3 linked regions of the Schizosaccharomyces pombe genome follow. Each later gene encodes a partner of the first gene's protein in a complex. Each region holds a gene or a part of one and is shown in the gene's direction. Other genes may lie near its edges. The genes, in order: mrpl22, mrpl16 and mrpl51.

The links.
Region 2: mrpl22 (region 1) and mrpl16 share a complex: the UniProt entries of both Schizosaccharomyces pombe proteins name them as parts of the mitochondrial large ribosomal subunit.
Region 3: mrpl22 (region 1) and mrpl51 share a complex: the UniProt entries of both Schizosaccharomyces pombe proteins name them as parts of the mitochondrial large ribosomal subunit.

What each region holds. Positions count from the first base shown.
Region 1 is NC_003421.2:2,027,518-2,031,134, reverse strand, and holds mrpl22 (mitochondrial 54S ribosomal protein uL22m), read left to right. Parts: upstream 1-2,000; 5' UTR 2,001-2,104; coding exon 2,105-2,854; 3' UTR 2,855-2,961; downstream 2,962-3,617. Other genes in the region: helicase Hrr1, read right to left, coding at 1-1,480. UniProt on the Schizosaccharomyces pombe protein: Component of the mitochondrial ribosome (mitoribosome), a dedicated translation machinery responsible for the synthesis of mitochondrial genome-encoded proteins, including at least some of the essential transmembrane subunits of the mitochondrial respiratory chain.
Region 2 is NC_003423.3:3,507,335-3,511,090, reverse strand, and holds mrpl16 (mitochondrial 54S ribosomal protein uL16m), read left to right. Parts: upstream 1-1,957; 5' UTR 1,958-2,157; coding exon 2,158-2,805; 3' UTR 2,806-3,568; downstream 3,569-3,756. Other genes in the region: ARS-binding protein Cbp1, read left to right, coding at 1-320; protein tam12, read left to right, coding at 1,188-1,388. UniProt on the Schizosaccharomyces pombe protein: Component of the mitochondrial ribosome (mitoribosome), a dedicated translation machinery responsible for the synthesis of mitochondrial genome-encoded proteins, including at least some of the essential transmembrane subunits of the mitochondrial respiratory chain.
Region 3 is NC_003423.3:1,697,901-1,701,589, forward strand, and holds mrpl51 (mitochondrial 54S ribosomal protein mL43), read left to right. Parts: upstream 1-2,032; 5' UTR 2,033-2,181; coding exon 2,182-2,247; exon of another isoform or gene 2,248-2,338; coding exon 2,339-2,501; exon of another isoform or gene 2,502-2,597; coding exon 2,598-2,806; 3' UTR 2,807-2,972; downstream 2,973-3,689. Other genes in the region: protein Mdm34, read right to left, coding at 1-1,193; cytosolic thiouridylase subunit Ctu2, read right to left, coding at 2,973-3,689. UniProt on the Schizosaccharomyces pombe protein: Component of the mitochondrial ribosome (mitoribosome), a dedicated translation machinery responsible for the synthesis of mitochondrial genome-encoded proteins, including at least some of the essential transmembrane subunits of the mitochondrial respiratory chain.

The sequences.
Region 1 (3,617 bases):
TATTAGTTATTTGCTTGATTAAGCGTTGCTTTTTGTGACGAATCTCATTATAAGCAGCCTTAAATGAATGCTTGGTGTGCTTTGCTTTTTGAAAAATCGTAACCGCTGCAATCTCAGGATCCTTCGTTCTTGAACCTAGTCGCATTACTGAAGCGCCTTGATGCAATAAACGAATCAATATTTGATCGACTGCATGATTCGTTTGGCAAGCTACTAAAATCGGAAGAACATGGGAGTGAGTATTCTCAAGTAATGTTTCTATGGCTTTAAGAGTAACAAAGCTTTTACCAGTCCCTGGAGGGCCTTGAATAATGGAGAGTCTCTTAGTCAGCATGGACTGGTAAGCTTTTAACTGTGACGAGTCTAGTATATACTCGCCAGGACCGAACGGCTCAAGAGCATTTACGATTTTTTGAGAGTTATTTTTTAAGATAGAATTTATGCGTATCCTAGGATTATTTTGTATGTGTTTAGCAGTCTCCTGATTACTTTTACAGTGTACCAAGTAATCCTTCATCGGGAATGTGCTAGCAGAAAGCCTCTGTAATGAACGAAGAACATGCTTGTAAGCTTCCCAATAGCCTGAAGTAGCTTCGATCATAACATATTCTTCTCGAGGATCTAAAGAGATACTAATATCTTCAAATTTGACATCTATTTCATGAGGATGTTTATTAAGGCCACTCAAGGGCCGCGCACAGACAGTTCCAATGCGAAAAGTCTGGAAATCATCATTGCTTAATAAAACTAAAGATCCACTGATAAGACGACGACTGGTAGCCCATTTTATTTTTTTCTTAGCGCGAACACTGAAGGATAATTTTGCAGCTATAACACTGGAAGATATTGTATAGCCATCTATCCGCACATGATCATATACGGCTAACGAAGAGCCGGTAATGTAATTGGGGTTTACCTTGTACCGAAGCACACTTTCTCGTAATGGGGAAACTGCGTCCTCACGTAGCAACCGATAGTGTATAGATAAGTAATCTTCAAAGGACTTGTATCCTCCGTATATGTTGTTTGAAGGTAATTCAACACTCTTTGACGTCAATTCTTCCAACGTTGGAATTGATGGTAGTTCCCGCCAAGAAGAAGTATCGCTTGCGGGATGGTGTTCGTTTTCGAATTCTCTATTTTTTCCCGATGTTATATCATTTCTCTTTACATTACTCAATTCATAATCGTTGTCAATGCTTCTCTTACGACGTATTGACTTGTTTTCTTTTAAATTTTTATCAACTTTGTTCCCCTCCGAGTCTTGGGTTTTGGAGGTTTCAGAAGTCTCGATTTGTTCTGTGAAACTCGTAGTATTATTATCGGCGTTAAAGATGTTGCTATACAATGGGTGTCTTTTCATTTCACTTAAAGTTTCTGGCTCGGGGATTTCATCAAACACAACTTCTGTATTTTTGTTCACCATTTCCCAGGCGTCCAGCGTACTTAACTTCCAAATTTCATCTTGTACTTGTTCCATAATAAAAAAGAAAAGGATAATATCCAAAAAATTTCAAAAGGTTATTGTACTAAAATATCTCAGTACGCGCCCACTAGGTCGTAATATTAATCTCGTCCTCCCCAAAGAAGCTAAAAGATATCATAAATAACAATTCATGTACAGTCTCTGCACCTGTCTCTAATATTATTTGTCTAACATACAAATGGGTTGTTTGTTTACTGCCAAGGGCCGTTTTCTGTCTTTACGTGACCATGCATTTAACGCGTTCAGATAATACCCGCAATGTGCAGCTTAGTGTGCCAGCATAAAGCATGTAAGCATGTGTTAACATCGTTGTAAAGTTACCTTATCGTAGTTTATCCATCCTTGAAATAGATTTACAAACTGAGTAGCTTGCATAGTGATAGTGAGCTCTCTCATTTAAGATTTTTATAACTGTATAAGGAGGGAAATGCTAACTGACCTATAACATAGTACAGTTAGCAATTCGTTAGGTTGCAATTCCTATTAGTACCACCTTGGCATGTAATATTTACCTGGTTTTGTTACAACATTGAGAAAGCGCATTTGCTCAAATTAGTCGAAAACGTTGACTTCTATGTGTGGAAGGAATATTTGGGAAAAAATTTTTAAGATTTAATTATGAAATACATTAATCAATTTATGAAAATATCAAAGGGCTTTTTAGTTCCATCGTCCACGATAGGATTGAATTCTAAAACGTACCATTACAAATTTCCATTACTTTCTTTTGTTAGAGAATTTTCAAATGGATCCTACTTAAGGGAGTCTGCACAAAATCCTGCAAATTTGGGTTCGCAAAAAGGGTCCGACATTTTCTCAATGCTTGCTAACCAGAAGGACGATTCTAATCGTCAGCAAAAGGAAGAGCGTGTAAAAGAGAGACCAAGGTCACGTATTTCTTTCAAAAAACAGGAGACCATGGATCCTTCCTACACCTTACAATCAATGGTGCTTCGCTCCTCTTTAAAGAAAGTCGGCGCTTTGTGTCGTCAAATTGCCCATAAGCCATTTTATCATGCTTTACTTCAAATGAAAATGTCAGATAAAAAAATTTCCAAGTACATCGCAACTGCTTTGGTTTCTGCTCGAGAAAACGCTGTTCGTGAAGCTGGTCTTGATGAGAGTACTCTCTACGTTGATCAAATATGGGTTGGAAAGGCAAAGTATTTAAAGAAACTTATCACTATGGGCCGTGGAGGTCGTGCCATTGAGAGATCTCCACGGGTTCGAGTTACTGTTGTTTTAAGAGATGAGCGAGCTCTCTTGCGCGATTTACAGCGTCGTCAACAAAGACTAGAAAGAAAGAAAGTTTGGACGCCTCTGCCTAACCGACCAATATACCTAAAATCTAACTTTTTCACTTGCTAAGTCATTATTGAGATGCCCATATCTTTGATACTCTAATAATATTTCCCCCCAATATCGTTTATAGTAATTCTAGTGCCGTTTTTTTTTTATGAGAATATGGTTTCCCTTATTATTTATTTCTTTAGCAACGCCATAATTTTGTATTTACCTCTATGGTGCTGATGGTATCAGTAGAAAAATAGTACTGTAAAAAGGTAAACTAACCAACCTGTACATACATCACTTTTAGTTCAATGATACGTTTTCGTAAAGAACGCAATTCTTTTTAAACTGTCTAATCTTATTAAATCATTCATGCAATCGTTTGCCTCATTAACATTTTTCAAATTTGGTTTGAAGCATTGCAACGAGCTTCTTTTTTTGACTTTTCAAAACGTGCTTTGGACCATATGTTGAAGCTATCCATATCTCTTCACCATTTTGACACATATTTATTGGTTCTAAATTCATCAGACACTTTTAAACAATCAAGCAAACCGAGTATAAAATATCATTAATTCCCCAATTATTAGGTGTAAAGGTACGCTGGATCCGCATTTTAACTCATTTGCAGTAGCAAATGATCAGTAGGAAAAAAAAGGAAACAAACCGCATCAAATAGACAGTAATTCTTTTTAATGGGCCATAATGAAAAAATAAGTTGAGATAGTAAATGTATCAACTATATTAACTTGAACCACAACAATGAGTTTTTTTTTTTAAACTGTGGGTAAAAATTAATTTAGAGAAAATCAGTGTTTTCATTTAAGAATGTTTGGAAATA
Region 2 (3,756 bases), on another chromosome or scaffold:
AGTTTTCTGTTCAAGCTGCTATGCGTATAGAGGATTTTATAAGTCCTTCAGAAGAGAATATTGTTGATTCCTCTGAGGATATAATCAATCAAATTGCTTCGCAGTACATGGATGATCGCGCTTTCGAGACGGACGAAGAAGAATCTACTGAATTCCAGATTACCACTAAAGACGCTATGAAGGCGATCGAGCTTTTGCTAAACTATGAAGCTCAACAACCCGATGGAAATCCTGCAATCACGATTAGTCTATTAAATTATCAGAAGCTCCTTGAGGCAAGGGGTGGTAACGTGAATCTTTCTCGTTTGAGAAGCACCTAATGTCTGTATTCGTTGTGCATATTTGACTTTTTTGTTTTTGGTTTGTATTTTAGTAGTTTTAATTTTCTTTTTGTTGAGTTTGGATCCCTTACCTAATGAGTAATTTGCTTTTATTCCTTCATTTTAACTTGTTGCTCTATTTTTAATACCCGATTGCAACTGATGAGCTTATTTGATTTTTCTTTGTTTTTATTTTAATTTTTTTAAAAAAACCTTTTCGAAGTTTCTTAAACGCAAAATCGCTATACGAGCTAATGAAATTGAATATTATACATTTTGTAATTCATGTCTCGCAATCAAGTGCTTTTAATATTGATACTATTTATCTTTAAAAATAAAAACCGGCTAAATGTAAGAAATTTTTTTTTTTTATTGAGGCATATTTGTTTTTTTAAGGTCGAGATTAGATTGTAAATAGTTGAACCGTAGGGGTTAGAGCTTCAAAAAATGATAAATTATTACTGTGAAACCCGAATTTAATCCATTTACGCATGATTGATTTTATAAAAATGTACTTCTCTTTTGCTAACTGCTTCGTACTGTAAATAAGCTTACTTTACAGTTAAGCATTACAAAGGTATATGATGTAATGATATAAGAAATAATCAATAACGAACTTTGATGTTATACGTAACATGAAATAACGATTTCTCTTCGAGACCTAGACTAACATGGCGATGTTCATAACTATGGCGAGTAAGCACATTTCTATTTCTACAAATAACTCAAATCCTTTGCTTGAACAATCAAGCGTGTTATAGCTTATTGGAATTTTTTAAGACTTTTTACAGCAAGAATCAGTAAAATCAGAGAAATTCGAATTGGCAAGTCTTCAAGGTTGTGTCCATTCGGAATATTTATTAAAGTATGTCAACAACTAGTTCTTCGTCGACGTTTTCTACGAGAACAGCGTCTTTATCCCAATCATATACAAATTCATTAAAGAAGGAAGCTGCTCAAAAGACGTTAGAAAACTGGGAATATCAGGCTATTCACGCTTTGCAGAACAATTCTTCTTTTCCCGCGATACGTAGATCAATGCGCAAGATTTTAGCAGATCCTTCATAATTTCCTAATCCCATTTTTTGTTTTTTTTATAATCATGATGTGAGCAAGTTCTTGCTACAGGGGACAAAAGAGTTGCGCTTGGCATTCTTACGTTCGATTGTCCATACAATAATGTTTAGCTCGATAGAGGATCCTTCTAATGGTTTATAAACGTACATCAGAAGATTTTTTTAAGACAGTCTTAACATTCCAAATACCAATACTGAGGCACTAAACAGTTGAACGTTTTGTTATTCTTCAAGGACAAGAATTCCTTGACAAGAAATGAGCTAAGTATATTATTTGAAATAGCTAAAATAGTCACTGTTTTATTTCTATTCACGCATTGTTGTCATTGAAATGATGATGCTGAATCAAATAATGTGTTGAGCATAAAACGCACGTTAAATTCAGTATCTATGAAAATAATCTTTTTTGCCTAATGCTTAAGATAATTTTTTTTTTTTTTTTTACAAACTAATAAACAAACAAATAAATAATTATAGCTAATGTTCAGTTATTGTCCGGCTTCTTCCCGGAACTTAGTTAGGATAAGTGGCAGCAACACATACAGAATCCAAGTATCCTTTAACCCCCTTCTCATACAAAAAATAGCAGGCCTATTATCGTTACTATTGTTACCATTTTCCCATAAAAAAAGAAATATAATACTTAAATTTGATTATTTTGAATATTTCTGAGTAACTTTAAAGAACGACTTTTGCATGATAATAAAAACACGTTGTTTTATGACTTTTTGAAACCCTCACAACATAAAAACTTATATAATATGGCTTTACAACAATACAATAAATTTCCTTTCTTTTTTTCTGGTATTTTAGGACCTACGAGGTTGAATGGTTTACAAATGCCGCCTATCCAAACGATGGTTCGTTGGGGACACCAGTATGCACCCAGAAGCATCAGAAACCAAAAAGCTCAGAAAGGAAGAGTCCCTATACCCATAGGAGGTTCACTACGTGGTACTCAACTTGAATGGGGAGAATATGGTATGCGATTAAAAGATCGAAGTATAAGATTTCATGCCAAGCAACTCGAAACTGCCGAACAGATTCTCAAGCGTATATTAAAACCTATCAAGGCTGCTCGGGTATACACACGTTTTTGTTGCAATGTGCCAGTATGCGTAAAAGGAAATGAAACTCGTATGGGCAAAGGCAAAGGAGCTTTTGAATACTGGGCTGCACGGATACCAATCGGTCGTGTACTTTTTGAAATTGGTGGTGATGGAATGCGTAAAGAGTTAGCTGAGCATGCATTGAAGCAAGCCGCTTTTCACCTTCCAGGCAAGTATGAGATTATCGTCAAGCAAACCCCCAAAAGATTGGGTACCACACTGATTCATGAAACCCCCATTACCACCGAGACAAGCAAAATGAACTATCAGGAAATTACCAGTACTACTACAGCTGTTTAAGGGAAAAGTTAAGCTGAATTTATCTATTTTTAACCCATTCAATAATTACTTTTCTGTCATACTTCTCACTTACTTAGTTTGTGAACTTAATGCTGCATCTTTGTACAGACATTCATGAGCTTCTTTTCAATCGTTGTAGTTATTCTATGTTTTAGTGAATGAAATTTGCCAGAAATGCCTTAAAACATTGTACATTTTGCGCTATGTTTCATTATCTATTTTCGAAATGGGAACTTTCATCCCCAATGAGAGAGTTGCTTAATTTTTGTTGGCGAAATATGAACCACTTTTGATTCACTTTGATTACGGCTCGGCAATTTCGTTAAAACATCAAATTTCTTTGGTCCTGAAAAGTTGGTAACGGTAATGAGTGTTTTTGGCGAAAATCTTATTTGCTGCTCTCTGCTCCGTTGGGGACTTTTTTTCGGGATGTAAAAAACGGCACGTTGTATATGTGCGAAATCATGAAGTGAATCAAAAAGTACACTTTAAATAATATGAAACTGATTTTACTATGGAATTACGAATGAAATTATTCAAATCAACTCCACTAAAATATTTACAACGTTTACAAAAAAAATCACTATACCTTCTAGAACCTAGCTTAGCAATCCACTGTTGAGTGGATCAGTAACTTAATCATTACTACCATAGATCTGATTAAATCTCATCAAGATCGATCGGGATCTGTAAATCAATTTTCTACCATAAATTACCGCGGTTGCCTACGAGTTGGTAGTGACTGTTTCTTTCAGTAAATAAATAGGGTAGGGTCGAATTTTTTGAAATTCATACATACGTGCATCCTTGCTCTTAGTTGTCTCCTCTACAGTGATAAAAGATTTAGCTTAAAAAATTCAAAGCTAACAGGTTTCGGGACAATAAGTTGTTGAATTGTATAATTTATATATTTATACTTAATTCATTTTAGAAAATTCGCTTTTCCTTTTC
Region 3 (3,689 bases), on another chromosome or scaffold:
TTGGTAATAATCTTTGTAGGAGTATCAGGTATGGAATCAAACGCAGATTCAGTAAGGTCAACGTTTTTAGAACCAACAAAAGTTTCGGAAGAGGAAGCAGACTTGTTTGATGCTTCATGAATTTTAATTACATGTCTTTTCTTGACACGTTCTCGGCGGCGGAATTGTGAGGTACCATGACTACGACCAAAAATGGATGGCCTAGCCGTGGTGTCATTTGAACCAAGATAGTCTGATGCGGAATATTGGGTTGCAGGGGAAGATACAGCAGAAATATCATCAGATTGAGTAGTCAATTGCTGTATAATCGTATCGGGAGGAGTTGACCGGTATATGGACATAGGTATTGAAGGAGAAGAAATAGGAAGTAGTGCTTTTCTGGATAAGGCTAAAGAAGCAATAGATCGAATGTTAGGATGCGTTTGGACATCCAATGGGCCCATTTTAATTGGGAGATGAGTGTCGACTTTCGTAGATTCATGATAGTCGGGAGGACCATCTAGCAAATCTGGGTTATAATTAGCCAGAGAAGTATGAGATTGGTTAGGAGAAGTGAAAGGAATTTTTTGAAAAGATAGATTAGAGTCGGACTTGGCAAACCAAATTCTTGACATTTTGTATATGATGGAAGGAAGTTCTTCCTGAAACAGGGAGACCAGTTGCACCTCGATTTCTCTTTGTAAAAAGCGAGCAATAGCAGGAATAGAATCAAAGGAGGAAGATACACGCACGGATTCTAAAGGATCGTTTCGAAATACCACAGTGATACCTTTCTGCTTTGAAAACACCAAAACAACTATTCCGTTAAGCTTTAAGTCGGAAAGTCGTAAAAACATAGGCACAGTAAGCGGTGCACGAGATGCTAACATTGTATTACGAGAACTAAAACTGGGAACATTACTTTTTTGCACCGATAATGGATTGGCACGAATTTTTGTTTGCAAGACCAAAGAAGCATCACCCGAATAATGGAGATTAAAGAGGCCCTGAAAGCGGTCTGGCGCTAAGTCGCCAACCTCTAAAATTTCCAGTTGAGGAGGTTGGGGACCCAAATCCAACTCTTTTACAGTGATGTGGTCTGCAATCATCGAGTGTTTAGTGCCTTTGTTTAAAGCAGCCGTAAGCAAAGTGGTTGCTCGCTCATAGAATGACTCAGAGAACTGATCACTCCATCCCTTTACACGAAACGACATTCTGTTGATTTTCCTAAGTTATCTACATCAACTATGAAAAATGTCAAATTTTTTTGTAAGGAACCGTCTAGTATAGACTAAGTAACTAACGCTTTAGATCAATTTCTTTACAAAATTTTTATTAAATTCGGATAGGGAAACGACAACTTCCATACAGTGGCGGACAGTAAATAAACATCGATAGGCTGGCTGATGCACTAGTGCGGCATACTGAACCTTGATATAGCCAAGATAAGGATAGGGTCGATCGTACTGTATATGAACGAAGGTGTATTAGAATGCATTAAATAAATTATTACAAAATGCACAGTAGTTTCTTATGCTATACTGGTGAAATATATTTTCTTGCTATTCTGTTCATTTAGGAGGGATAAATAAAGCTTCATGAAATGAAATTCCTTAGATATTCAAATCAGAAATTCAGCCATTATTTTAGAAATGATATTAGTGGTGTTGCTTACTGTATTAATTTGCTATGTTGACAAATATCTAGGCTGAAGAACTTCGAGTACAAGAACCGATACAACTTTGCTCTTTCAGAAAAGGATATCTCTGCATAAATGAATGATATTAAATCAAAATTGTTCGTTTTAAAAAACCTATATTATGTTTGTTCGCAGTCCATGTACTACGTTAAAAAATCACTGTAAACTTTCTAGATATCATTATTTAGAGAAGAGCAGAAAGGTAAAGTATTGCAAAGTGTGTAACCAGAAACTGTAGGTAGACAGTAAACTTGATTTTGTTGCTAAAATTTTTTATAAAACTAATTGCATACTAAGTTTAACATTCTAAATCAATTGGAACAAGTATTGAAGTTTAGAGCAATTTGGGATTTGCGAATTTCCACACACCCCTTTACGTCTCCATACCGACTTTTCATTATTTCTGCAAGGATTTGCTCACCCAACTTTTTTCAATATAGCATATTAAGAATTCTGGTTTTTAAAAGACGGTATCCCCTTTTTTACGGCCTTTTACTCACTTAATGATGATTGAAATCATTCCTAAAATTTCAATTCCCAAAAATGGACTAGGTTCATTTACCCGCCCAGTAAGATTTAATCAGCTTTCTTTTTTTTTAAAAAAAAAAAAAAAAAAAAGATTGGCCTTCATTAACTTCGTATTACTAATTTTCTTTTTAGTGCCGTCGAATTGAGTTTTCGTATTGTAATTGGGGTGGAAGCTCAAAAGGCATGAAAGAATTTTTATCCACAAAGCTTGAGTCTTTGGCCAAAGAATCTCAAGATGTGGAATTTCATGTTACAAACCGCCAAGGCAAGCATCCATTAATCCGAGCTTATTACAGTACGTCCAAGACTTTTCTCTTATTATGGTGATCCTCTTAGTTTTATAAATATGAACTCCTTAAAATAGTGTTTTTTACTAATGCTACGATAATAGATACTGGTCGAGAGAAGGTCATTTGTACAAGGAAAATGTCAGCGTCTTCAATATTTCAAAAAGCAATTCTATGCAGAGATAGTGATGGTTTGAAACCTCGCCTCATAAAATATCCTGTTGAGTCAACAAACCCATCCGTTCGTGGTATTTGGAGTCCATTTTCCGATCAAGCAAAGCCCCATGAAATTTATAAGAAAAAGTCCCCTTAGATTCCTCTACAAACTACTTATTATTTCATACAAAAAAAAGAAAATTCAATTTAATCATTTTCGTTATGTTATTATGTCTAACCTTTTTGTCCGAAATACAAAACCCTATCCAAATTTATCTTCCCATAAATACTCTAGTTAACCAGGTAGTAAGTGTACAGATGTATCAAATCCCTTCTTTTTCAATATCAGGAATATGCAACGTCCCTTTTAAGCTTTTTAAAGAAACAGAACAGCCATAGCAAACATTTTGATTCTTAATACCTTCAACGGAATCCGGATGTTCAACCGTAGTTTTTTGTAACCAAGTCTCAGCATCTTCTTGCATTGGTAGATTACAGATGGTACATATGGCTTCTGTAGAAGGCACATGCAATTTTGAGCTCATTTTGACAACGGTGCTAACCAGACTTGGGAATGTATCATTCAGCGATGAGAAATATGATTCTGTAACGCCATGAATAGTATTAGGACGTGCTTCAATTAAGCTATCGCAGAAAGCTAATCCCTTAATGTTCATATACGACTTGAGGTCTGAAGACAAAACTTCACGTAGGGGACGTAGTAGGAAAGTATCGCAATTTGGAAGCTTAGAGCAGACAGAAGTGTACCATGGTATCGCAAAACCTCGACCCTCTGCCACAAGTTCAAGAACTCTTGCAGCAATTGTAGTACCGCTATCACCAAAAACAATGGTATCACAATTTGCCTTCCGGGCATAGGATACTAAAAGCTTATCCCGAATTCGGTAAAGTAAATCTTGACGCGAGGCTAACGAACTAATGACTTCTGGATTAAATTTCTCATTATCTGCGTTTATTTCTATATTTCCTCGTGAGTCTGTAGCAATGGTACGGTTCAATAACTCAGCTTCACCAATAAC